Linked DNA regions of Cricetulus griseus. The protein of the gene in region 2 purifies or fractionates together with the protein of the main gene of each other region. This does not show direct contact. Links are inferred from orthologs where the notes say so. Each region holds a gene or a part of one and is shown on either strand. Other genes may lie near its edges. The genes, in order: Copg1, Nudcd1, Copg2, Copa, ATP-dependent RNA helicase DHX8, Dhx38 and Dhx15.

Region 1 (3,500 bases), on a different chromosome or scaffold from region 2:
GAATCAAACCAATTTCTCTGTATGAACAAGTGCTCTTAACTGCTGAGCCCCTCTGGCCCCAAGTCTTTTGGTTTTTAGCTAAGACTGTATCTATTAAACACTGTCTCCCCATCTGCCTCTTCTAGCCTTTCACCCACAGTTCTTCTGTGTTTATGAATCTGACTGCTTCAGTTATCTTGAGGGGAATCAGGAAGTGTTCTTCTTTTTCTGCCTCCCTTATTTCCCTTATAAATGTCCTTGGATTTCATATATATATTATAACATGTATCATTTTCTTTTTCTTTTTTTTCTTTTCTTTTTTTTTTTTTTCGGTTTTTCGAGACAGGGTTTCTCTGTGTAGCTTTGGAGCCTATCCTGGCACTCGCTCTGGAGACCAGGCTGGCCTGGAACTCAGAGAGATCCTCCTGCCTCTGCCTCCCGAGTGCTGGGATTAAAGGTGTGTGCCACCAACGCCCGGCTCATTTTCTTCTTTTTCAATGCTGAATAACATCCTTTTAAAGTACTGACTACAGTTTGTCCACTCATACTCCTGTGAACACTTGGGTTGCTTCTGTGCTGTCACTGTTGTGACAGGTGCTTCGAAGATTATGAGTGTAGAGAGGTGTTCTGTTGCTGATACCCAAAAGTGGAATCACTGGGTTAGCTAATTCTGTGCTTGATACCTTGAGGAACCACTGTATTGTTTTCCACGTGGGGTGTGCCACCCATTCTGCCTTTTTTCATGTCTCCCATAGCCAGGCTTTCAGTTTCAGGTGAGTGAGTCTGTTAGGTATATAGCAAGCGAGGGTAAAGGAGAAAACAGCAAACTGCAGGTAGACAGTAGAACATAAAGTTATACACACCATCCTGCAGGAGTGCTTGGGAAAGCCATGGGGAACAAGTCATTGAGGCCCTTGTTGACAGAGAGTCCCCTACAGACTGTCTCCTGTCAGGTGAGGCTTCCAGTGAGTCACATCCACCACAGGTGTTTCTACTGTGAGATAAGCAGTAGGGGAGCCTTTTGCTTTGGGAACGAACTGCTTAGCCATCTTAAGGGACAGTGTGATTTTACTTAAGTGATTTACTCTCCTGTTCTCAGTGGTGCTGTTTTCACTCTTTGAGCTGTATTGCTGTTCTCCTTTGTCTTCTCACGGGGCAGGTGACACCATCCCTGGACATGGGTCTTGAAAGACAAAACATGCTTGGATCTGAGGCCGGCGTCGGGGTAGGGGTAGGGAGCAGCCCTTCCTCCAGAGCCAGCTTCTCACTGGGCTTTAAAGCACATGGCAGTTCTCTAATAGAGTGTATCTTTCTCTCAGCACGAGAATTGGGGTCCAGAAGGTTCCCATTAAGCTTTCTGCCCTGGTGAGTTTCCAACACAGACAGAAGCCTAGGCTCCTGTTTCCAGCTGTGGAGCAGTGTCTTGGGCCAGGCTAGGCTCTGGGCCTCCCTCAGCTGACCTTGGCTGTGGGAGGATGTGAGCTCCTTGCTCAGCTAGACATTTGTCTCTGCAGGGTGGCTTTGAGTACAAGCGCGCCATAGTGGACTGCATCATCAGCATCATTGAGGAGAACTCAGAGAGCAAGGAGACGGGACTGTCACACCTGTGTGAGTTCATTGAGGACTGCGAGTTCACTGTGCTGGCTACCCGGATCCTGCATTTGTTGGGCCAGGAGGGGCCCAAGACCAACAACCCCTCCAAGTACATTCGCTTCATCTACAACCGTGTGGTCCTGGAGCATGAAGAGGTTCGGGCAGGTAGGTCTGAGCTGGGGTGATCCTGGGCGCTTAGCTTTTTTGCGGTGAATTTGCCAGTAAAAGGACCCAAACCCCCAGGGGCATGACCTCATGAGCTGTTTTTTATATTGTCAGAAAGACTTTATATGTCATGCATCTGGATAAATGATTTTCTACAATTTAATTTTTTTTAAAGGTTTCCTGTTTCGTGCTTAGAGGGTTTTTTTTGCCTTTTTTTATTTTATTTTATTTTTGAGATAGGGTATTGTTATATGGCCAGGCTGGCTCGTACTCGAAACCCTCCCGCTTCAGTCTTCTGTATGCTGGAATCACAAGTATGCACCACCATACCTAGGGTTTTTTGTTTTGTTTTGTTTTTAAACTTGAGATATAACACACACATAAAATTTACCTTTTTATATAAACAGTGATCTGGCAGTCTACCATCTTGTTCTTAATTTCATCTTATTTTCCATTTCCTACTTCTGTGCATCCTTAAGAAGATTTTCTTCTTTTGGCAGCTGGTGTTCACTATGTGATGGTTTATTTTCTCATATGCTGTACTCTCAGGCCTATTTACATACACACGAAGCTGTTCTGAGGTGAATAGCCTGACAGTGTTGATAGTGTCTGTGGCCTTGATCATTTGAAGGTAGCCCGTAGAGCCCTAGAACAGAAGCTACTGGTCTTCCCTTTTCTCCAATAACAGGAAGAAGTAGTTGAGGCCTGGGTAGCACCAGGATCCACCAGGATTGCACAAGAGTTGTTCTAGGATCGTATTGGTGCCACCCACTACCTCTTCTGCATGAATTCTCTGAGCACTAGTGGGCACCCTCAGCTCTCTGGCAGGTGGGACTGAGGAGCTGTTGGTGAATCATATTTACCTTGGAACTAGGTGCAGTGAGTGCTCTGGCCAAGTTTGGAGCCCAGAATGAAGAGATGTTACCTAGCATCTTGGTATTGCTGAAAAGGTGAGTCTGGGTGCAGAAGCCAGAGAGCATAACAGTGTCCCCTTGGTCCAGTCCACTGCTTTGTCCTTCCAAAGAATTTTTTTCTTTCTTTTTTTTTGGGGGGGGGGCAGGGTTTCTCTATGTAGCCCTGGCTATCTTGGAACTTGCCATGTAGACCAGGCTGGCCTCAAACTCACTGAGATCTACCTGCCTCTGCCTCCTAAGTGCTGGAATTAAAGGTGTGTACCACCATGCCCAGCAAAGATTTAATTATTTTTATCTCATTTGTGTGAGTTTTTGCCTGTGTGTATATCTGTGCACTGTGTGTGTGGTGCCTAGTACCTGCTGAGTCCAGAAGAGGGTGTAAGTATGTCTCCTATGAGCTCAAGGGAACCTCTGTGTATTTTGTGACATTTGGTTTGTCTTCTTTCCTGGGTGAGTTCTTTATTAGGGAGCTGTCTTCCACTCAGCTGACCAGCCCCTTGTATTTTATGCTGTCCATTTTAGAGCCTCCACTCTTGGCAGCTGAGCCTTAAGAGCTCTGCATCGCCCTGCCACCCCCATACAGCCCTACAGGGTCCCTTTGACACACTTGCTACACTCAGTCAGGGTTACCTTGTGTCCTGACCACAGGTGTGTGATGGATGACGACAATGAAGTGAGAGATAGAGCTACCTTCTATCTGAACGTTCTGGAGCAGAAGCAGAAGGCCCTCAATGCAGGTTATATACTAAATGGTGAGTCTTCTTGCCTGCCCAGGACCCAGCCCCCTCTTGGAGCCTTTAGACCTTCCTGCGGCCTTAGAGCAGGTGTGGTGTCCCTGACCCAAGACAT
Region 2 (3,500 bases):
AACAAACTTTGGGTTTGTTTAAGGCTATCCAGGGCTTTTTATCCAAATATGATAAGAACATACTTGACTTAATATTGTCTAATATCAATGTCTAATAATGCATCCTGCATTATTAAATTTCATCCACACAGTGGTGCTAGAAAACCAACAGTTGGCTGCTGTTTCCCTCTTGTTTAGTAGAGTATCCATTTCTAACCCTTCCTTCGCAAATAAATCCTTCCTTAAACTAGAGGGGGCATTCCACAGCCCCCATCAACATCCTCAGAAACTTGCGATTTTGCCTGTCAAGTCTGAAATGTTTCCAGGCTTCAGTCACCCCTCTTGGATGTGAGTTGGCTGACGTCAGTAGCTTGCTGTTGGTTTTGCCCCTTCTCTGATACAGTCTGTATTCCACATCTCATTTTTGAGTACTGTCTAAGGACCTCAAATCTGAACTTTATTCTCCAGTTTAGAAACAGATGAATCCTTGCTTACAGCGAGTTTCTAAAGGCAGAAGTCAAGGTAAAGTCAGATTAGGCTATCGAAATGCAGTTTCTGCCCTCATTCTCCAGCTGCATACATTTGCAGCTATTCTTGGTATATAGTTCTCGTACTTCCCAAAGCCAGGGAGCAGGGAGGTAGCTAGTTCTCATTGTCACCTTGACACAATCTGGAATCACTGCGAAGGGAATCTCAATAAAGAATAGATCAGGTTGGCCCGTGGGTGTGATTGTGAGAATTGATTGAGGTTAATTAATTGTGGGAGGGCCTATCTTGAAATGAGTGGCACCGTTTAATGGGTTGGGCCCTGGCTTGAGTGACAGGGAGAGATGAGTTTAGCACTAAGCTTGCATTCATTCTCTCTCTGTTCTCGACCATGGATGTGAGTAGCTGCTTCAGGTTTCTGCCTTGACTTCCCTAGCAGTGATGGACGGTGACCTGGATTTGTGACGTAAATAAATCCCCTTTTCCCCTGAATTGCTTTTGTTGGGGTTTTATCATAGCAATGGGAAAGAAAACTAGGACAGTCAGTATGAATACTTGTCTTTTTCTTCCAGTTTTTCCTGGTTTTGCTTAGAAGGCATGTTATTTAAACGTCTATTACTTCAACAACATCTTCCATCTGTATCTTGGCTCAGTCTTGGAAAGCTTTTGTTAACCTCCTGAAGTAGGTCAATTCTCTTTTATATATCCTTGTGGTATTTGTATTTTCTACATAATGTTTTAATTGTATTAAATTCATTATGCAATATGTGATCATTTGACTAGTGCTTTTTTGTTTTGGTTGGGGGGGGGTTGGTTATTTATTTATTTATTTTTGAGGCATAGATGGTCTCACTACATAGCCCTAGGTGTCTTGGAACTTGCTGGCCTCTAAATCACAAAGATCCATGAGCCTCTGCCTCCCGAATGCTGGGATTAAAGTGGGCACCATCTTGCCTGGCGGCCTGGCGGCCTGGCGGCCTGGCGGCCTGGCGGCCTGGCGGCCTGGCGGCCTGGCGGCCTGACCCATTATCCTTTTGCTTACCAGATGCTGAGTTTTTAGCAGGTAGAGTGTGTTCTCTCTGTGTATCACTGGTGTCGCTGGTGCTCATTATAAGACTTGCTAAGTAAATGAATAAATATGTAAGCTAGGACTCAGTGCAGGCGTTGAGAATAGGAAAAGTGGGGCCGGAGAAAAGGCTCAGCAGGTGAGAACGTGTGTTGCTCTTGCAGAGGGGTCAGTGCCCAGAACCTAAGTGGTGGCTCAAAAGCATCTGTAACCTCAGCCCAAAGGATGGCTTCTGGCCTCCACAGGCACCAGGCATGCACGTACATCCATGCAGACAAACACATACACAAAATAAGTTGAAAGAAATAACAAATGGTGTGAGGCCCTGGATGGTTTTTACTGTCAACTTGACACAATTAAGAGTCACCAGGAGAGGGAGTCTCAATTGAGGTAATACCCAGGCCTTTGGCCCTGTGTGATTGCTGATTGACATGGGAGGGCCAAGCCCATGGCTGACAGCAGCACCTCTGGGCAGACGGTAGATAGATTCCAGAAAGCTGGCTGAGCACAAGTCAGAGGACGCAAGCCAGTAAGCAACAACAGCCCTCCGTGGGTTCTACTTCAGTTCCTGCTCTGACTTCTGAGTCCCTGTCCTGACTTCCCTCAGTGATGAACTGTGACCTGAAAGCAGAAGCTGGAATTAACCCCCTCCTCTCTGAGATGGCTTCCTCTCATGGTGTTTACTACAGCAACAGAAAGGAAACTAAAACAGCGGGTAAAGGAGAAAATAGTTGGCAGTGAGAATAGTGTTCAAATGAGTTTTATATAAAGGTAACGTGGAGGTTCAGTGCAGTTTACTTAATTTTCTTTTTGTTACAAACAGAAATTAGTTGTAGGGCATGAGTAGCCCTGAGCTGCAAGTTCTTAACCACACAGAAAGGCACGAATGTGAGGGAAAGACTATATATATTTGGCCAATTCAGAATTAGGCAAAAGCTAATGTTTTAGTTCAGAGAGCCCCGTTCCATACACAGAAAACCTTGTGTATGTCCCGACTATGATACTGTTTTATTCTTTATGATTGGGAATGATGCAATGCGATGGTGAAGTTACTCTTTGTGTTTCTGCCTAGTTTCCTAACTGTATAATCATATAATACAGACATTGTCTCTTTCTTTATGTGTGATAAAGATGAATGACACACTGGAGTAAGAATGCTTTATAAACTGGGATTGTTTGCCCACAGATTAGAAGTCCTTACAATTCAAAATCATAGAGGGACATAAAAGGAAAAGATTGCACTATGGAAGTCCTGCATGCTGCAGCCTCTGTAGCTGCCACTGTCTGGTTTCTATGCCCTGTAGGCATTTTGCAGAAATGAATGATCCGAGGTGCAAGTTTGATGATTGTGTTCATGTCTATATATACACACAGATGCATGTAAATATGTGTGTCTGTTTACATATGTTTGTTTGTCTTTCAGCTGTAGCGGAAGTGAAGCTTCGGGATGACCAGTATACGTTGGAGCACATGCATGCTTTTGGGATGTATAATTATCTGCACTGTGATGCCTGGTATCAAGACAGTGTCTACTACATTGATAACCTCGGGAGAATTATGAACTTAACAGTGATGCTGGTAAGAAAAACATGCAGGGTGGAAAGACAGAGCTCACCCTGTTCCCGTTGGTTCTTTACTCTCTCCTAGTCTGATGTCCAGACAGTCAGGAGAGCACACTTGCAAAGTGGAGACCTGTCGTCAAACTGTAAGGCTGCCTCTCTGCTTAATGTCAGTCGTAGCTTTTACTCCGTAATCCCGCTACCCAGCCATTTCCTCCCGTGTGTGGTATATCCTCAGTGTAATAAAGGATTTCTTCTTTTCCCTTTTACTTAGTGCTTACATTGTGTCATTTTTGGTGTTTATGCTGTCATGTAAACTATGTAACATTTATGTTAGTATTAAGACATAGTCCTTTTTTTCCCTCTAGGTCTTGGGGATAATTTATGCCTTGAGGTCTTGTTTATCTGAT
Region 3 (3,500 bases), on a different chromosome or scaffold from region 2:
AACTAGAGATAAGCAATATTCTTTTGGACCCTTTTATACTTTAAAAAATACATATTATTTCATAGGAACTGCTATTACCAAATTAGAAAATACCTCCATGAATATACGTTTCCCTAGAAATGGAATTTCATTCAAAGATTAAAACCATGCAACTGCCTAAAGGAGTCAGCTAATATGTGAATCACCATAAAATAGGTTTGACCATTTGAACAGAAGTGCTATGTCATGTCTCCATAACACTAAGGCACTAACCGTTGAAGATATATGTAGCATTCAGGGCCATCTGTCTCTGCTGTAGCACATTCAGGTAGAAGGTAGCTCGGTCCCGTACCTCATCATCAGTATCCATCATACACCTGTTCAGAAGGAATGGCATAGGTATGTTTCTATATCCCAAAGATTTCCAACAGTTTTACCACTGTTCCTGTAAAGCACAGTTGAGGTTATCTGATATGACTTTTATGGCAGAGTTCAATAATAGCCAACAAGGGCTCCTAAATTTTCCATGATTCTTTGAACTGTTATGAAGTACTAAAGAGATGCCATTGCAAGTCAGAATTACTACACTAGGAGGCCTGAAGTCACTAGGAAGAACACAGTAACATGACATAATAATGTAGAGTCTGTAACTACAAGAGCCCAACAAAGACTTAGCTTCTCTAACACTAAGAAATGGAAATGTTACGCTACGGAGACAAAGAAAACTAGCACTCAGTACTGTTCAAATGGCAATCTGCTTCATTTAAACTAGTCAGTCTTTGGCTTATGACTTAATTGCTTTAAATATAAAATACAATCACAAAATACTTGCTAAAGCCGGGCGTTGGTGGTGCACACCTTTAATTCCAGCACTCTCGGGAGGCAGAGGCAAGGCAGGTGGATCTCTGTGAGTTCAAGGCCAGCCTGGTCTCCAGAGCGAGTGCCAGGATAGGCGCCAAAGCTACACAGAGAAACCCCGTCTAAAAAAAAAAAAATTATATATATATATATATTAAAAAGGACTTTCCCTCACAACTAGGGAGTTATGAAGATCATGAAAGGCTATCTTCAATTCTTCATATGAATTGTTTAACCTCTCTTTAAAGTTAGTGTTTACTGTACAAATTGAAGTACATATATTTACCTTACTCCCTCAAAATCATGTAAAAGAAATCCAAATCTCAAATCTCACATGTATCTTGTGTATATATAACTATCAGAAATAGGAAAAACTGCATTTGCCCCTGACTAGCTCTATTAGCTCTACTCTTAGCCCTACAGTGTGTCTAACAATAGGGCAATGAGGTTTTTCACTACTTAGCTATATGGAATCTTTATCTTTCAAAAGCTGGCATTCTCTTATATACCTTTGTAAGAGGACCAGGATGCTTGGGAGAAGGCTCTCATTCTGAGCTCCAAATTTAGCCAAAGCACTTACAGCAGCTGTTGTGAAACACAGAATGAAGCAACATAAATACTGACTTCTCAGAGTTAAGAAATAAGCATTCCCAAAACAAATCAGACACTTGTGAGCCCAAGGCAGGAAAATTACTCAAAGTCTAAGACCAGCCTGGGCTACAGAGTGAGTTTCAGTCCAGCCTAGGATACAAAGACCACGTATTAAAAAACAAAATAAAAACAAATAAACCAAAACCAAAAGCAAATGAGAAACAACTAGTATTCAGTAGAAATAAAGTCTTGTTTCATTAGCAATTCCTTGATTACTTAAGCATAAACAGAATTGTGAATCATATACATACTGTGTAAGCTGTCTCTACCCTAGGACACCTACCTATAGCTCTTCCTATACCCTCTGACATGATTCAGTTCAAATTTCAAACAACTAATGCCAAGAAGCTATTACTAACATTCTTTTCATTCAACAAAGATTTAATGCTCACCTAAATTTTACTGGAAGTGTGGCAAAAGCTGAGGAATACAAAGATAAAAGACATGGTCTTTGAAAGAGACTGTCTTACCCTAGTAAATCTCTAGCAAAACTATATCCAAGATGCTAGGTAAGTACAGAAATGGGGGCTTAGGTCAAACAACGAATTGAGACACTACTGCAGCTAATTTTGTAGAATAGTTAGTTTAGCCAAAGGGAAGAGACAAGGTAAGAGTATTAAAAAGAAAAACAAATAAATGTTCTGTGTCCAGAGTAGAAAGTGTATTTACTAGTCTTGAATGAGAAAGGCTGAGAATTGGAGCCACATTAGAGAGTGAAAGTGAGAGACTAGATAAACTAAAAAAACCACACATAGCTCAACCGTAATGTTTCAATTAAAGGTTTATTATCTCACATAGGTATAGGATGTATTTGTGATTGTTTTTAAATATTTTTATTATTCTTAATTATGTAAAATGTATATGCCTCTGGGTAGGTACACACACACACACACACAGCAGAGTGTAGGTGCTGGCAAGGCCAGAAGTATCAGATCCCCTGGGAGCTAGAGTTACAGGTAGAGCCAATTTCAGGTCCTTGGCAAGAACAGTAAGTACCCTTAACTGATGAGTCAGCTTTCCAGCCCAAATTTGTGTTATTTTAATGCCCACTCTTCATATTCCACAAACAAACAAACAAACAAACAATCTGTGACACTAGAAGCAGAGCAGCTAGGGATCAGAATGAATGAAAGCCTAAACCTGTACCCAATGACAGAAGGTAAGAGAATGAAGAAACCAGTTAAGGAGGCCAAAGTGACAGACCTGTGGTGAGGAACAGATGAGGTTTCAGGGTGACCTAAATCCCTGCCTTCTGAGGATCAAGGAAAGATTTCAATTTGGACTAGTTTGAATTTCACATTACATATGGGGTATATGGTGGACATTCTTATTCAGGAGAACCATGCCTACAAATAGAGCTCCAAAACACAATCCAGAAGAATGTATACAGTGATAAGACAATTCTAAGGATGGCCAATTAATGTACTAGAAAGAAAGACTATAAATAGACCAAGGGATGACAGAAAACTGGAGTACACTATAAAAACCAAAGGAAGAGTTTCCTTAAGCAGCCAGTAAACAGTTTATCAAGTTGAGACATGAACTAAGATCAAAATTGTCAAGTAGTCTGATTTTCCCACTAACTTACATGTAATTTTAAAAAGTAACTTGAGAAAAAAAACTTAAAGGAGAGGGTCAAATTTTATTGAGCTGAGAAGAAAATAGGAAAAAGAGCACATGAAGGCAACTAGTGACGGTTTCTGTGAGTTTATCTGGAAACCAAGTATATAAGGTCAGGAGTTAACGTGAAACAGGATTACAGGATAATTTACCTGTATTAGTGGCATAGACTAGAATCACTTAAAATGTATCTATGGACACATCCATACATAAATCCCATATACTGGTTTAGTGAAAAAATGAGAGGTAGCACTATAGTGTTCCTGTTACACTGAAAGGCAAGGACTGTAGGATTCCAATTCAAGGCAAAAATCTGCATGAAAGTCGGAACACAAAGGAGAGCTGTATACCTAGTCCCAGGGTGTCCTCCAAAGTCACATCACACCTGTAAC
Region 4 (4,021 bases), on a different chromosome or scaffold from region 2:
AATGTTTTGGTAAATGTTTGGGGCTTTGTTGCTGATGTTTTTGTCTTCCAGAGCTAAGATTTCTTTGCCAGGGCTGTCTTGAAACTCTCTTCTACTACTACTACTACTACGCTTGCCTCAAGTTTGAGATCTGCCTGCTTCTGTGCCACCACACCCAGCAATTTTTTTTTTAATTCCTTGTTTTTTGTTTTTGTTTTCTTTTTCTTTTCCCTGACACAGTTCCTCTGTGGCTTTGGAGGCTGTCCTAGAACTAGCTTTGTAGACCAGGCTGGCTTTGAACTCACAGAGATCCACCTGTCTCTCTCTCTCTCTCCCTCCTGACTGCTGGGAGTAAAGGCGTGCACCACCATTATCTGGCTAATGTTTGGGTTTTTTAAAACAGGGTCTCATTTTGTAGTTCAGGCTAGTCTCAGACTTGCAGCAACCCTTTTGCCTTAGCCTCCCACGTGCTGGGCTTACAGATGAGAGCCACAACGTCCAACTCTGGTAGCTATTGCTTAGTTGTAAAGACATAGTATATGAATATCAGCAAGTTTATGAAGGCACCTATTTTGCATGGTGTTTCTTTTATTTTTATGATTACTGGTAACACCTTTTCGTTTTCTTTTGGACAGGTTTCACCATGTAGCCTCCAATTCACAGCAATTCTCTTGCCTCAGCCTCTCATGTGCTGGGATTTACAGACACAAACCACAGCGTCCAACTTAGCACTTAAAATTTTTAAAAATCTTTAACTATGTGTGTCCGTGTGGAAGTTATGTGCACATTAGTACAGATGCCTAAAGGGGAACAGACAAGGGCACTGGATCCCACAGAGCTGAGTGATAGGCAGTTGTGAGCCACGTGACATGGATGATGGAAATCAAACTGTACGAACAGCATACACTCTTAACCCCGATTCAACAATTTCCATGAACTCTTAATACTCATCCCCTCTACACCTTTCTACAGACTGAGAAGACATCTAAAAAGAATAGGAAATGAAGACTCATTTCAAACTCAGAAACTGGTTTTGTTTGTTTGTTTGTTTTTTAAATTACGTTTGGGCACTTGAGTTCAGGTGCCCCATGGAGCCCAGAAGACGGGATCAGATCATCTGGAGCTAAATTTACAGGTGGTTGTGAGCTGCCAAACATGGGAACTGGGAAACAAACTCAAGTCCTCTGCAAGAGCAGTAATTCAGCTAGGCGGTGGCAGTGGTGGTGGTACATCCCAGCACTCAGGAGGCAGAGGCAGGCAGATCTCTCTGAGTTCCAGGTCAGCCTGGTTTACAGAGTGAGTTCCAGGACAGTCAAGGCTACACAGAGAAACCCTGTCTCAAAACAAACAAACAAACAAACAAACAAAAAGCAGTAAATCTTGTTAATGGAGCCATCTCTCTCTAGCCCTAAACCTTTTTTTTGGGGGGGGGGGAATAATGCTTCACTGTGTAGCTTTGACTGGCCTGGAGTTCACTGTATAGACCAGGCTGGCCTCTAACTCACAGAGATCCACCTGCATCTGGCTCCAGAGTGCTGGGATTAAAGCCACTGTGACTGGCACCAGAGATGACAGTTCTTTCTTTTTTCTTTTTTTTTTTTTCCGTTTTGAGACAGACTCTCTACATAGTCATGGTGGTAGTAGGAACTCTCAATGGTACCCTTCATGACCAAAATTCCCACAAGACTCAGAAACTGCTCAGAATATAGCCTCACATTAAATAGCCTCCAGTTTTTGAGTTACTGAGTCTGGCCAGGAATTATTATAAACATATTTAATATACTTTCACATTTTTATTCTCTTTATAATGTTAATTACCTTTATTTTTAAAAATAAGAATGCAGAGATTTAGAGATCGTAAGTATGCCACCTAAGGTCATATAGCTTGTTAGTGGATGTTTCAGAATTCCTCAGCAAGTCCACTTGACTCCAAAGAACAAATTCCAAATCACTTCACTATAATGCATTTTTAGGAAATATTCCAGATATATTTTTAACCAGATTTCTGTAGGCTTAATTCTCTGCTCTTCTAATTTCAACATTACGAAAGAGTGTGATCTCAGGCATTCGTTCTTCAAAAAAATATTACCAAAAAAATCGTTTATGTGATATTCAAACCTAATACAAAGCATCTTGTATTTCGTTCATCGAACAGTCTTACAGTTTCTGGATTTTAGGGGTCTGTAAGCAAGCAGGCAATAACGTCCAACGGAAGCACTGGACATGGAGACGGTGCAGACAGGCTAAGGCAGTAGCCGGTGCCTGACTCCAGAAGCGACACAGTGACAGAGGCTGAGAACCCAGCCCCGGGGGTACTCCGTAGAATACGGTCATCAAAAAGCATAAAAGTCACAAGGCCTTAACAACAGAGAGAGTAAAAGCCGGAGCGCAGCCCCCAGAAGAGGTGGATGGAGCAGGAAGCGGGCCTAGTGATCTCTTCAATGTAGGAGCCATTTCACGAGTAAACCAAACCCCGGGACTCACTGAGAAGCGCAGAGTGCGGAGACTCCGCCAGCCCTAGGCCGCCTCCCTCGGCTATTCCGCTGGGTTCGAGCGGGCCCAAGCCGGTGGGCGAGCCCGCCCGCCCGCCGGTTCTCTCTTCCTTAGTGACAGCACCGCCCCCAACCCCCAAGCTGCGCTGTTCCCCTCTTCCTCCTCACTACCTTTGACCCGCGCGCTCTTGGTCTCGAATTTGGTTAGCATCCTTCAGGCCTCGGGCTCCCAGGTCCGACTACCCAGCCCCGCCGCTCCCGGTTGCCTTCCCAAAGTCTCCACGTCAGCTACCCGAGGTCGTGGCTCCCGGAAGCGCCTCAGACACTAACTTCCGGTCTCTGGAGCCCTGGGCCACAGAGACGGTGCCAGCGGAAGCCTAGAGAGGCCGATACGAGGCTGGAAGGGGCCCGAGGCTTCCGCTCAGCGGAGAGGCAAGATGGCTACAACTAGGGGCGGCTCTGGGCCTGACCCAGGAAGTCGGGGTCTTCTTCTCCTTCTGTCTTTTTCCGTGATACTGGCAGGTGAGGCCACCCCACCCCGGAGCTCCGCTCCGTAAGGAGAACCGTCCCGATCGGCCCATCGCAAGTGCAGGCGTTGTCGCCCTTCTGGTTCCCTTTGCCCCTCTGTCCCCCCCGCCCTGTAAATCCTTCTTGTCTTTCGTTCCCATGACATAAGTTCCCCCTTGGCCTGGACCTTCATTTCTTACCTCCCGAGGCACGTCGTTTCCCTTAGTTCTCTCCAACCCCTTTTTGGGTTTCCAACCTGATTCTCTTCTTCCTTATTCGCATGCCCCGTTTTCTTTAAAGCCCCAGCCACCCCACCCACAGTCAAAAGGGACAGGTGTAAAAAGCTCAACCTCCCTTCGCTGGTTTAGTAATTTTGAGACCAAAAGTCTTGTCTTGTGGGCGCTTCTGCAACACTGGAAAAGAGAGAGAGAGACAGAGAGACAGAGACAGAGAGAGAGAGAGAAAGAGAGAGAGCGCTCATTTCCTCCTGTCAGTGTTCTACACTAATAGTGTGTCCCTTATTTTCTTTATTTTCTAAAGTGAGGCTAACGTGGCCTTGGCCGCTTTAAACTGCTAGGAGGGAAGTAATGATTCAAGGAATTTTAGACATTTAATGTAGATGAATATTTTCATTTTTTAAAATCTAATATTTACTAATTTTGCAATTGTGAATTACACTCACTCACACATCTGTAATTCTTTCTAGTATGTTCAACTAAGAAATTAAGCAGAGCTGTGTTTCCTTATATGTATATGGCTTTTTAGTTAAGCCCTAAAATGCAATCATTTCTGTTTATACCCATGACTGTATCTCCCCTACTTCACACTGTTTTTGACCATCTTCAAGGGAGAAACTGTAGCTGCCCCATACTCTAGGTGTGCACACAAATGATCAGGTGTTTGATTCACCTAACAGGTGTGTGGCATAAGGTTTCTCCTAGGTCTGTTCAGATTCTTAGCTGGGTTTTGTTGTTGAATGCTTTTCTTTGTTTGTTTTGGTAATCTATATTCTTAGACCAGAAGTATTTTTCTAACTAATTAGT
Region 5 (3,500 bases), on a different chromosome or scaffold from region 2:
CACACACACACACAGTGGATAGCAAACATCCTATGAAGCCTTCCTTTATCCCACACTAAGTTAACCTTTGAAGACAGTAAGGTTTAAAATACAGAATCAAGCTAAGTATGGTGCCATATGCCTATAATCCCTTAAGGAGACAGAAGCAAGAGGGTCCCACATCTAAGGCCAGCTTAAACTATACAGTAAGATCCTGTCTTTTTTAATTTTTATTTTTTTGATTTTCAAAACAAGGTCTCTCTTGAAACTCACTATGTAGACCAGGCTAGTCTAGAACTTACAGAGATCCTGGCAAGGCCCTGTCTTGAAACAAACAGGAAAGGAAAGAAAGAAGGGAGGGACCCCTCCAGAACCATAACCAATCCCAGAAAGACCCTCACCAGGATTTAGAAAAAAGCTTATGATAGATGCAGCCAACCTGAGAGATAGGTGTCACCACAAGCTGGTCAATCCCTGTTTTAGAATTGTAAACTTTCTGTTTCACAAATCCAGGGTCAACTACATAGTAGATGCCGTCGATGGTCAGTGATGTCTCTGCGATGTTGGTGGCAATCACGACCTACAGATGAGACAGACAGAGCCAGAGTGAGCTGAGCTGAAACAGGTCTCACATGTTGCCGGGATCTGCTGCTATCTCCCTCTAGACACTTGACATTTAACCCTGGCTCAGGTCTCCAGTGTTCAGAGGGGAAGGAGCCTTCATCTGAAGGGTTCCTTTGGAAGTAGGTGGTGCCTCAGAGGTGTAAAGCAGGAAACAGCTAAGGCTGCTCAGAGCCAACCTCATTTGGTATAAATAGCTGTGCATCTCATTGTCTAGAGCGGATGATTACTATAATTTTAATTTCCTAGCTCCCTGGGAAAGTACAGATTTCCTGGCATCACATGTGCCACTGCAAAATGAGATTTTTCTTTCTCTCACAGGGACATCTGGACTACGAATGGGCTGTTCATATATGTAGAACAAGAGGAGGGTTGCATCTTTTCTCCTCACCATAAAATGAGCCACAAGGCGACAGAGGAATTTCACAGTGTGTGTGTGTGTGTGCAGCAGTGTCTGATCTAGAAGATTATGACTCTCAGCTTGGCTTTCCACCCAGAGGTTCAGCTCATAAAATGCAACTGCTTAGAAAAAACATTGCTAGGAGGCGCCAAAATGTCTCACATCATACCAGTATCTTACTGGCCCTGGAAGGCATTTACCTGCCACACAGCCAAAAGCCCTGCTTAGAAACGATCTAACCTTGGGGGCTGCAGAGATGGCTCAGAGGTTAAGAGCACTGGCTGCTCTTCCAGAGAACCTGAGTTCAATTCCCAGCAACCACATGGTGGCTAACACCAATTCCAGAGCTTCTGATACCCTTACACAAACATATGTGCAGGCAAAACACCAATCAACATAAAAAAGAAGTAGCTGAAAAAAAGAAAAAAAAAAAAAAACAATCCAACCAACAGAAACAGGACAGAGGAAGAACTCAACATCTGCCCCTCCCAAACCTGCTCCCATGTTAGAACCGTGTTCCACGCAGCTGTGCAAGTTAGAAGCAGGGAAGTTATTTTTCCCTCACCCTTCACCCCCTCTGTCTCCTGAACGACTGTGCGCCCTCCTATCCACTGCTGGGACTACACTCAGAGAAGCACACATCCCAGGAAACTGGTAAACAAATGTTCACAGTAGAAGCACTCATGGTATATCCCAAAGTGGAAATAACCTAATGCCTATAGTGAACAATATACAAAATAAAATTTATGCAAGGTCTAGCAGGATGGCTCAGTGGGTAGACACTTGCCACCAAGCCTGATGACCTGAATGATGGTGGAAGGATAGAATTGATTCCTGAAAACTGTCCTCTGACCTGAACACGTGTCATGATGTGCACATGCCACCATGTCCAGCTGTAAAATCAATTATTTTATTTAAAAATGATGAATTAAGGCAAGGGGATAGCTCAACTGGTAAAGTACTCAGTCTCAAAAGTCTGAAGACCTGAGTTTAATACCCACAACCCATATAAAAATGGTAGGCATGGTGGCATGTGCTTGTAATTCCATCACTGGGGAGGCTGGACACCCCACAGGACTTCAGGGTATATGAGACAACCTCATTTAAGCCCATGTTACCTTTCTGCTGCCAGGAGGAGCTGGGTCAAAGATTCGGGTCTGCATCTCACTGGGTAGGGCAGAGTACACTGGGAGGATGATTAACTCCGGGACATCAGGTCCCAGAGATTTCATTCTTTCATACAGGATCTCACAAGCAGTATCAATTTCTTCCTGACCAGTCAAGAAAACCAAGATATCACCTATGAAGAGAATGAGGCATTATTTCCTCTGTCTCTGTGGGGGTCGGGGGTGTTTTGTTGTTTCTTTTGTGGTATGAGAGGTAAAATTTAGAGTCTTTCTTTTTTTTTTGTTTTTTAGAGACAAGGTTTCCCTATGGCTTTAGACACTGTCCTGGAACTAGCTCTTGTAGACCAGGCTGGTCTCGAACTCACAGAGATCCACCTGCCTCTGCCTCCCGAGTGCTGGGATTAAAGGCTTACGCCACCAACACCCGGCAAATTTAGAGTCTTGTGCATGTCCTCACTGAGCCACATCACCAGCTCTCTTTTCACTTTTGAAAAGTTTTGAGACAAGTTGTCCAGGCATGCCTTGAACTTGAGATCTATCTGCCTAGCTAACTAGCTGGGATTACAAGCCTGCAACCAGGCTTGGATCTGTTTTACTGTGAAATAGAGTTGAATCATGTTCCAGGCTGGTCCTAAACTTCAATCCTCTTGCTTTAGCCTCTTGGTAGTTGGAACCACAGGTACAAACCACCAGACTGCTTGTGTGTAAAAGGATACAGCAACACTAACAGCATTACTATGTATGTATGTATATATATATATATATATATATATATATATATATATATATACACACACACACACACACACACACACACACACACACACACGTAAACGGAAAACATATATTTTCCATTTACATATAAGGCACCCGCCTTTAATCCCAGCACTCGGGAGGCAGAGGCAGGCAGATCTCTGTGAGTTTGAAGCCAGCCTGGTCTACAGAGCTAGTTCCAGGATAGCCTCCAAAGCTACATAGAGAAACCCTGTCTCGAAAAACTAAAAAGAAAAAAAAATCACAAAAATAAACCAAGAGGTTATCATCTGTCTACATTTAATTAAGTGCATTTAAACCTTATATCACTTTTTTAAACTATTATATCACTATTTTAATTTGGAATAATATTTTATTCCAAATATGCATGCCTGAGACTTACAAAGAGAACAATATTTAAAATGTGTTTCTTACAAGACTAGCCAAAAATACACCCAGTAGGATTTTTGGCCTAAGACAAAAGCCTTCCACTCCCCTCACCTGGTGGCTCTGTTAAATGGATCTGCATAACAGTGATCAGGCTGGCGTCCAAATAGTCTGTCTCGGGCTCCTTTGTGTACAGTATTTCCACTGGATAGGTCCGACCAGGGATGGTGAAG
Region 6 (4,096 bases), on a different chromosome or scaffold from region 2:
GGAAGACAAGGCAAAGCCTGTAACTTCAAAGCGCTGATCCCACTCAATAGTCTGTGGAGCTGTGCACAACTGAGTAGGAAGGTAGCTGCACAAAGACAGGTTGGCCTGCCACTAAAGGATACTGCTATCCCCACCCTCAATATCACTGCCTGACTCCAAATGGAACCAGAATTTATGGGAAGTGCTGAGGCAGACAAACTTGCTGATCTCAGCATTCTAGGAGGACGAGCAGTTGGGAATAGCAGAGGCTCAGTACATAGCTCACCCATCTCTCTGCACTTTGCATTGTTTTAAATCTAACATTTAATGAGATTCCCATAGCCCTACACAGAAAACGTCCAGATTTTTATCACGGTAGCATACCATTTCATATGTGGACCACACTTTAGTGGTCCTTCATTGATGGACGTTTGTATATTCTCGTGACCTGGCTTAAGGCGTCTTCCTAGGTGCACTTTATCACATGGCAAACAGATCAGTTATGAGTGTGTGGAGCCAGGCGCTGTGGCACACACCTTTGATCCCAATACTTGGAAGGCAGAGGCAGGCAGATCTCTGTGAGTTTGAGACCAGCCTGGTCTATACAGTAGGCTCCAGGACAGCCTGGGCTACATAGAAAAACTCTTTCTTGAAAAACAACAACAACGAAAGTGTGTGGAAATCACAATTAAATAAATATTCCAAGATATCATCAAAGGACATACTTGAACATGGACAAGTGATTATTATTTCCACTAAGGGTCTCGTTTAGTAGCTCAGGCTGGCTTTGAGTTTGTGGCAATCTTCCTGTCTCTGCCTCACAATTGCTGGGATTACAGGAGCGTGCCACCAAGCCAGGTAGATAACTTATTTACTCAGGGCGGATATGTCTACTTTCCAAAACGTTCCGCACCTGTGTTTTACAAGATGCGGGCGGTTGGGTTACTCCTGGTCCACAGGTGCCAGGGAGGACACAAACCACCTGTCAGCAGTCCGGATTCCTTCACCGATAGCCAAGGCACAACTGTCTCCTTCATCGGTCCCAACCCGGGAAAGGACCTTAACCCCAACTAACCTGGGCTGTTGCTTAGAAACCCTTCTTTGGCCTGCAAACCCGAACAAACGGAAGTGAAAATGAAACACGGACGCAGAAAATGAACGTACCATCGCGCGTCCCAGTCAATAGCCCAATAAGCAGACGGCGTTATTATAGTTCTCGCCCATTTGGCACTGCCCCAACAGGAAGTTATGTCATTTCCGCCCTTAGTAAATATGGCTGACCTCGGTCTGTCTTGCCTCTCACGCCCACAGGCCAGAGGCGGGGTATCAGCTATCACTCTAAGCACGATTGGTCGCAAGGAAACCTGGGGCCCAGAGGAAGACACCGTGGCTTTGAAGGCGTGTTCACGTTGTTTCTCTCTGGCGTCCAGGAACCTTGTATTTCTGGGCTACTCTCGATGGTATTTTTGGACGGATAGAGGACCCCGCGCAGGGCATTATGGGACAATGATGGCCGCTTTCAAACAGTGGAATTTACCTCTTTGAGACCCTCAGACCGAGCAGTGTTCGCGCTGGCGTCCCCAGATCAGTGGCAGAAGGTCCCGAGAGTCGTGCTTGGTGAAGTGAGTATCTCTTCCTCTTTCCAGATCCGTCCTTCGGCCGCCATGGTGGCTCCAGGCGGCCGGGGTCGGTTCGCGGCTTAGGTTTTGGGCCCTGGTTTCAGAGTTCCTCTTGTCCTTGTTACCCAACTTTCTCTACTCACTTGAGCGGTCTTGTGTCTATTCAGCCTGCTCCGGACTTTGTCCCCGTTATGGTCACATCCTTGTGTTTGGGAACGGCCCCCTGAGATCGAGGCATCCGCCCTGCGCCCTGGTTTATTTAGGACGGTGCCCTAACCTGTTACCTAGAGAGTCTGGATAGGGCTCCTGCTGCCTTCCTCCTTTCTCACCGAAGTGTCTCCATTAAGTCTGGTGGTTAATCTATAGGTAGAATATTAACCGCAAAGGGCAGGGAGTTTTTGGTTTTTGTTTTTAAAATCGGTATTGTTGAGAACAATTGACTCAAGGACACATGCAGTTGCTGCCCAAGAAGTCCTTTGTGGCTTCTGTGTCACTGATCTTTCTCCATAATCTGGCCCTGGAATTCCTTGTTTGCTATTTTGAGCGGACAATTAAATCCTTCCTTGACCTGTGTTGTGGATAAACTTCTTGTTGTCCAGAGAAATGTTTGAGTTCTTGTTCTCTTTTAATAGGATATATTTATTCATTTGCTTTAAAATTAGACTTTCATTTTGCCATTGCTGGGTTATAGCAGTCAACAAGACAGCCTCTCGCTTGTATGCAAATGACATTTTAGGACATAAGTCATCATTCAGGTAACTGCTGAGAGTCTGTGTACCTCAGTCTCCCCGTCTGGATTTCCTCATGTATATTTACATGTAACTTTCTTTTTCTGCTCCACCTGATGGAATTTCCAAATGAAGCTCTTGTTTGTTCATCTACATCATGTTTGCAGTACTCCTTGGTAGAGCTGTGCATGCCGATTAGAATATGGCAAAAGAAGTGTAGATTCCAGAGGTACAGTTCTTATGCTTTAACGACTTACTGGAATGAGAATAATTGTCTGTGTGTCCAACATAAGTTCATGCTTCTAAGTAGATGGTATCAGTTAAAGACGAGTGTGTTATCAACCAGGAGATCTTGCAGTCTCTTAAACACTTTCCTGAAATACCACTTCCTTAACTTAGCATTTCTCATATGCAAGTTTGGTAAATACAGTTTCTTATTCAAGAGATTTTTGCCAGCTATGGGCAGCTTTTTTTCCCCCCTTTTTGCACAAAACACTACTGATCACAACAAAAGTCACCAAGTGTGTAGAATATGGATGGTAAAATTATGTCCTTACACTTACACTTTGTGGAACCTGTGGCTTCAAGGGGGAGGGGATAGGTGAGTAGAAGAATGTATATAAAATATTAGAAATATTAGTAAGGAAACTAGTCAGTATACAGGGGCATAATAGCAAATGTGTAATAATTACACTGACAAAACATCTATGGTTCATGTACAGTTGTTAGATTCTCACAGTGGTTCTGTGCAGTGTATAGAGAAGTAATAGCTAACCAAGCCTGCTGCTTACTCTCACAGAAGCAGAAAATGCCAAGAGCCTGGGTATCTTTTTTATTTTTATTTTTTAATGTCTGTTACTAAAGAAGAGGGTGTGCTGCTGCAGCTGACATGAAAAAGGCCAGCGTGTTTGGTTGATGTTTGGAGGCAGTAAGCCAATGGGGATCTTAAAGGTGATTATTGTGATTCTTAAGTAGAGAAAGTAGAAGGGTGAAATTACAGGAGAATAAATTAAATAATGGGTAGGGAAAATCTATGAGTGAGGGCCATGGGCATGAATGAATGAATATGTCACTAAATAGTCTAGCAGTTATGAAACTCACTATGTATCTCAGGCTAGCTTCAAATTTGCCATCCTCTGGAGCCTCCTCAGCTTCTCACCTGCTAAGATTACAAGTGGGTGTCACCGTGCGTAGGACCAGAAACTGGATTTTAATTGAGGTTTCTGACTTACATCTAGTTCCCCTTCTAGTCCCTTTTTGTATTCCAGTAAGAAGTCCTTACTGAAGTTTATTCTTGTCTGGATGATACCCTCTTGATCCTACCACTTGCTCTGTGTATATGTGTCTCTGTGTCTTTCATATATGTTGAGGTGGGAACTGGGAAACTTTTTGAGATCGTCACTGATTTGGTGGGAAAGTCTTCGGAAGTAGCAAAGGGGGCTAGAGAGATGGCTCAGTTGGTGAAGTGCCTTCTCACAAGCATGAGGATCCGAGTACAAGGAAAGCTATGAGTAGAGGCACTTGTGTGCTGAAGAGGCAGACACAGGCAGATCCCAGGAGCTTGCTGACACCCTAGCTTGGCTGGATTTACTCCCAGTCCAGTGAGAGACCCTGTCTCAAAAAGTAAGGGAGCAACTGAGAAAACACTTGACATTGACCTCTGGCCTCATGTGCACACAGTGCCTGTGTACCTGCATGAACACACACACACACACACACACACACACACACACACACACCCTCTGATAGCAGAAGATGCTTTGGGCTCAG
Region 7 (3,500 bases), on a different chromosome or scaffold from region 2:
TTCAAATATTTTAACAAAGAAAACAACCCCAATGTTTCAGATCTCTCCACTCAAGCACTAGAAAACAAAGTTTGTACTCCTAATTTCTACTGTCCCAGAGTTTTCCTGCTATACTCAGAATAACAAGATGAGAAGATAGCAGTTATTTTCCTGTATAGACTAAGAAATCAACCCTCTTTACTAAAATAACACCCTAAGTCACTAAAAAGCGTTCGCCAAAGAACTCTTCTTCAGGATATTCTACACGACATACAATTGCAAATGAACAGAGAAATAGAAAATGACTATCATGACCAAACCAGCACATTTAGTTAAATTTAAACACTAGCATAACATATTTACCATAGTATTTAACAACTCACCTGTGTTGTCTTACCAGACCCAGTCTCACCAACCAGTACAAATGACTGATGTCTAACAAGAATATCTGTAAACCTATCCTTGTATTCCCAAACAGGGAGCTGAAGCCGTTTCTTTAGAATATCATAATATCGAGGCGTATGGGGCAGGTTAGTAAACGGATTAATGCACTGTGGAAGTGATGTGTGTCCTGCGTGCCCAGTGTGTGTTGAATGGGCAGAATGTGTAGAATGTGTTGAATGAGCCGAGTGGGTTGAGTGAGCTGAATGAGAAGCTTTTAGAGGAGGCAATCCAGCACTGATAAGCATAGCGTTGGTGGAAGCTCTCAATTCTTTTTCCTTTTCTTTCTCCCTCTCCCGTTCTCTATCTCCTCTATCGCGTTCTCGGTCACGATCTTTAGATCGGTCTTCTCTATCCCGGTCTCTATCCCGGTCTTTCCTGGAAATATAAAAATTTAAAAATCAGAGTGATTATGTGTATAACATCTCAACGAATTATTAGAAATGATCGGATTTTTCATGCACCACCAAGAAAATTCTTTACTAGACAAGGTCTCTAGTTCCATCCTTCTAAAACCTTAATAACTGATAGGAAGACCATCAAAATGGCTCAGCAGATAAAGGTTTGAGCCTAAGCCTGACAGTCTGAATTCAATACCCAGAACCCACATGGTGATAGGAGAGGACCAACTCTTCTCAGCTCTCAACACAAGATGTAATATAATAAAACTTAAAAAAAAAAAAAAAAAAAACCAAGTCAGGCACTCAGGAGGCAGAGGCAGGTGGATCGTTCACTATAAATCTATACACACCTTGATGAATCAAAATGAAATGTAGTCAAATTAAAAACAAAGTTCACAGACTACAGAACTGTTGTAAAAATTAAGTAATTTCTACTGAACTAAGGATAATTTTAGTCATTTCTGGTATCTACAACAGATAATCCTAATGGAGTAAATTCAACTCATATATATATCACAAAATGCCAAGAGGTTTTCTGACCTGGACTAAAACAATGAGGCAATGTGGAGACAACAGAAACAAACCCCTAAATCTGTCATTGCTCTTTACTTACAACACATAAAGTTCATTTCCTGTGACACAAGTATCTGTACAGTACAGCAGGAAAGCGCATTCACTCTCCACAGTCTTTTAGAGGAGAAACAGTAAAAACCTTAAGCAGAATACAACTAAAATGCTTACTAAACAGCACAGAATGAGAATCGTTCAGCCACAGCACTGGTAAGTTGATAATTGTATCTGATTCTGTTCATAAAATATGGGACTCTATTCCATACAAACTTGCAGGGAAGAAAAGCCCTATTAGAATGTGACTTCTCCCATCCTAACTACCCACTACAGATTTATGAAAAATACAACATAAAGCTGAAATAAATCCTCACATGCCACCCAAAACCCAAAGAAATCAAAACTATATAGGTAAAAGATTACTTAAGAACTACAAAACAGCTGGGCATTGGTGGCGCACGCCTTTAATCCCAGCACTTGGGAGGCAGGCAGATCTCTGTTGAGTTCGAGGCCAGCCTGGTCTCCAGAGTTGAGTGCCAGGATAAGCTCCAAAGCTACACAGAGAAATCCTGTCTTGAAAAACAAAAACAAACAAACAAACAAAAAAGAAATACAAAACAACAACAACCAGGCCATAGTGGTACACGCCTTTAATCCAAGCACTTGAAGGCAGAGGAAGTTCTGAGTTCAAGGCCAGCCTGACCTACAAAGAGAATTCCTAGACAGCTAGGACTGTTACACAGATGAACCTGCCTAGAGACAGTCCCCCAAAGGAGGGAGAGAGGAAGGGATATAAGTCTTAAAATTTCAAATTTGAGCCTTATCTTTGAAATATATCACATTCATTGCTACTTTTGCTTCTCATTTAAGTGCTCTTTAACTGGGCATTGATATCAAATCAAAAATGTAAGTTTATAAAGCAAAGAAAGACTCAAACAGCTCAAGGACTGGATACCTTTGCAGGCCTAGTGATTTGGTGGGTAAAAGCACTTGCTGTGAAAGCAAGAAAACCTGAGTTCAAATCTGTTAAATTAGGCATGGCCTTGTGGTGCCTGTAACCCAGCATTGGTGAGGGTGGATCTTCAGAGTTTGCAGGCCAGCCTAGCTGAAAAAAAAAAAAAACGGTCAGCTTCAGGAAAAAAAAAAAAAAAAAAAAAAAAAAAAAAAAACAGCTTCACAATCAGCAGTGTCTCAACTAACTGGGCAATGTATTCAACAGGGGCAGGCATGAGCACACGCATGCACATATACACACACAGAAAAGTTTAAAAAAGGGTTTACATTTGTAGCTATCATTTTGTTATAAAGTACAAAAAGAAACTGAACAAGCATCTTCCATATTTAAGAGTATGGAATCAGTTAAGATACAAACCTAACCTTTCCAAAACTACAAACCTGGGTGAAGAGATACTACACAAAGCAATCCACATAATGTTATGTGAAAAATTAACACCTACACTAACACACACCTTTTCCAGGACACATTTCACCTACAGCTTCATTACTATATCAGAGAAAGAAATAGAATACAAAACACAAGGATTCGATGACGAATAAAGTGAGAATTTAACATCACCCCCAAAAAAGAGGGGCAAGGCAACCAGTTGAAAAACCACAGAAAAGGCCTAAAACTCAGCAAAGTGATGAAGAAAACATTTGGGATGCAGAAAACTACTTCAATGGTCTAGTTTTGCAGTTCACACTAGCTACTCTGAATGACAAAGGTAAGTTTTTAAGTCCCTCTCCAAGCATAGGTAGACTTGTCCATATGCAGCTTCTTGTTTAAAAAGGGCACTTACAAAAAGTTTTTCTCATAAGAATTTGCTAGTTAAGCATAACACTTTTAATTTTAAAGAAAATAAAAACAATACTGGTGTGGAAGTACACATCTTTAACCACAAAACTTGGGAGACAGAGGCAGCAGGCTGATCTCTGGTCTACACAGTTGAGTTTCTAGGATAACCAGAGCGATGTAGAGAAACATTGTCTCAGAAGAAAGACAAAGCAAGCTCTAAATAGTTCTTTAGTCAACACTATGACATTTATCAAGAACAGTCAGTGTTTCCTTGCTCACATGCAAGTTTTGTCTATTGATACAGAACTAATAACATT

What was found.
Region 1: the proteins of Nudcd1 (region 2) and Copg1 purify together in Homo sapiens (affinity purification with mass spectrometry; 3 studies listed by BioGRID and IntAct, counting the BioPlex papers as one, with this or other methods). This does not show direct contact. The link is inferred for Cricetulus griseus from reciprocal best matches to the Homo sapiens genes NUDCD1 and COPG1.
Region 3: the proteins of Nudcd1 (region 2) and Copg2 purify together in Homo sapiens (co-immunoprecipitation; 3 studies listed by BioGRID and IntAct, with this or other methods). This does not show direct contact. The link is inferred for Cricetulus griseus from reciprocal best matches to the Homo sapiens genes NUDCD1 and COPG2.
Region 4: the proteins of Nudcd1 (region 2) and Copa purify together in Homo sapiens (co-immunoprecipitation; 3 studies listed by BioGRID and IntAct, with this or other methods). This does not show direct contact. The link is inferred for Cricetulus griseus from reciprocal best matches to the Homo sapiens genes NUDCD1 and COPA.
Region 5: the proteins of Nudcd1 (region 2) and ATP-dependent RNA helicase DHX8 purify together in Homo sapiens (affinity purification with mass spectrometry; 3 studies listed by BioGRID and IntAct, counting the BioPlex papers as one, with this or other methods). This does not show direct contact. The link is inferred for Cricetulus griseus from reciprocal best matches to the Homo sapiens genes NUDCD1 and DHX8.
Region 6: the proteins of Nudcd1 (region 2) and Dhx38 purify together in Homo sapiens (co-immunoprecipitation; 3 studies listed by BioGRID and IntAct, with this or other methods). This does not show direct contact. The link is inferred for Cricetulus griseus from reciprocal best matches to the Homo sapiens genes NUDCD1 and DHX38.
Region 7: the proteins of Nudcd1 (region 2) and Dhx15 purify together in Homo sapiens (co-immunoprecipitation; 3 studies listed by BioGRID and IntAct, with this or other methods). This does not show direct contact. The link is inferred for Cricetulus griseus from reciprocal best matches to the Homo sapiens genes NUDCD1 and DHX15.

Annotation. Positions count from the first base shown.
Region 1 is NC_048601.1:55,406,229-55,409,728, reverse strand, and holds part of Copg1 (coatomer subunit gamma-1), read left to right. Parts: intron 1-1,493; coding exon 1,494-1,737; intron 1,738-2,611; coding exon 2,612-2,687; intron 2,688-3,299; coding exon 3,300-3,403; intron 3,404-3,500. UniProt on the Homo sapiens protein: The coatomer is a cytosolic protein complex that binds to dilysine motifs and reversibly associates with Golgi non-clathrin-coated vesicles, which further mediate biosynthetic protein transport from the ER, via the Golgi up to the trans Golgi network.
Region 2 is NC_048603.1:8,622,444-8,625,943, forward strand, and holds part of Nudcd1 (nudC domain-containing protein 1), read left to right. Parts: intron 1-2,954; coding exon 2,955-3,109; intron 3,110-3,500.
Region 3 is NW_023276806.1:197,043,267-197,046,766, reverse strand, and holds part of Copg2 (coatomer subunit gamma-2), read right to left. Parts: intron 1,423-3,500; coding exon 1,347-1,422; intron 357-1,346; coding exon 253-356; intron 1-252. UniProt on the Homo sapiens protein: The coatomer is a cytosolic protein complex that binds to dilysine motifs and reversibly associates with Golgi non-clathrin-coated vesicles, which further mediate biosynthetic protein transport from the ER, via the Golgi up to the trans Golgi network.
Region 4 is NC_048598.1:20,775,643-20,779,663, forward strand, and holds the start of Copa (coatomer subunit alpha), read right to left. Parts: upstream 2,801-4,021; 5' UTR 2,683-2,800; coding exon 2,643-2,682; intron 1-2,642. Other genes in the region: Ncstn (nicastrin), read left to right, coding at 2,909-2,993. UniProt on the Homo sapiens protein: The coatomer is a cytosolic protein complex that binds to dilysine motifs and reversibly associates with Golgi non-clathrin-coated vesicles, which further mediate biosynthetic protein transport from the ER, via the Golgi up to the trans Golgi network.
Region 5 is NC_048600.1:116,339,022-116,342,521, forward strand, and holds part of ATP-dependent RNA helicase DHX8, read right to left. Parts: coding exon 3,382-3,500; intron 2,301-3,381; coding exon 2,119-2,300; intron 560-2,118; coding exon 419-559; intron 1-418.
Region 6 is NC_048596.1:185,933,518-185,937,613, reverse strand, and holds the start of Dhx38 (pre-mRNA-splicing factor ATP-dependent RNA helicase PRP16), read left to right. Parts: upstream 1-1,296; 5' UTR 1,297-1,601; intron 1,602-4,096. UniProt on the Homo sapiens protein: Probable ATP-binding RNA helicase. Involved in pre-mRNA splicing as component of the spliceosome.
Region 7 is NW_023276807.1:120,436,044-120,439,543, forward strand, and holds part of Dhx15 (pre-mRNA-splicing factor ATP-dependent RNA helicase DHX15), read right to left. Parts: intron 799-3,500; coding exon 363-798; intron 1-362.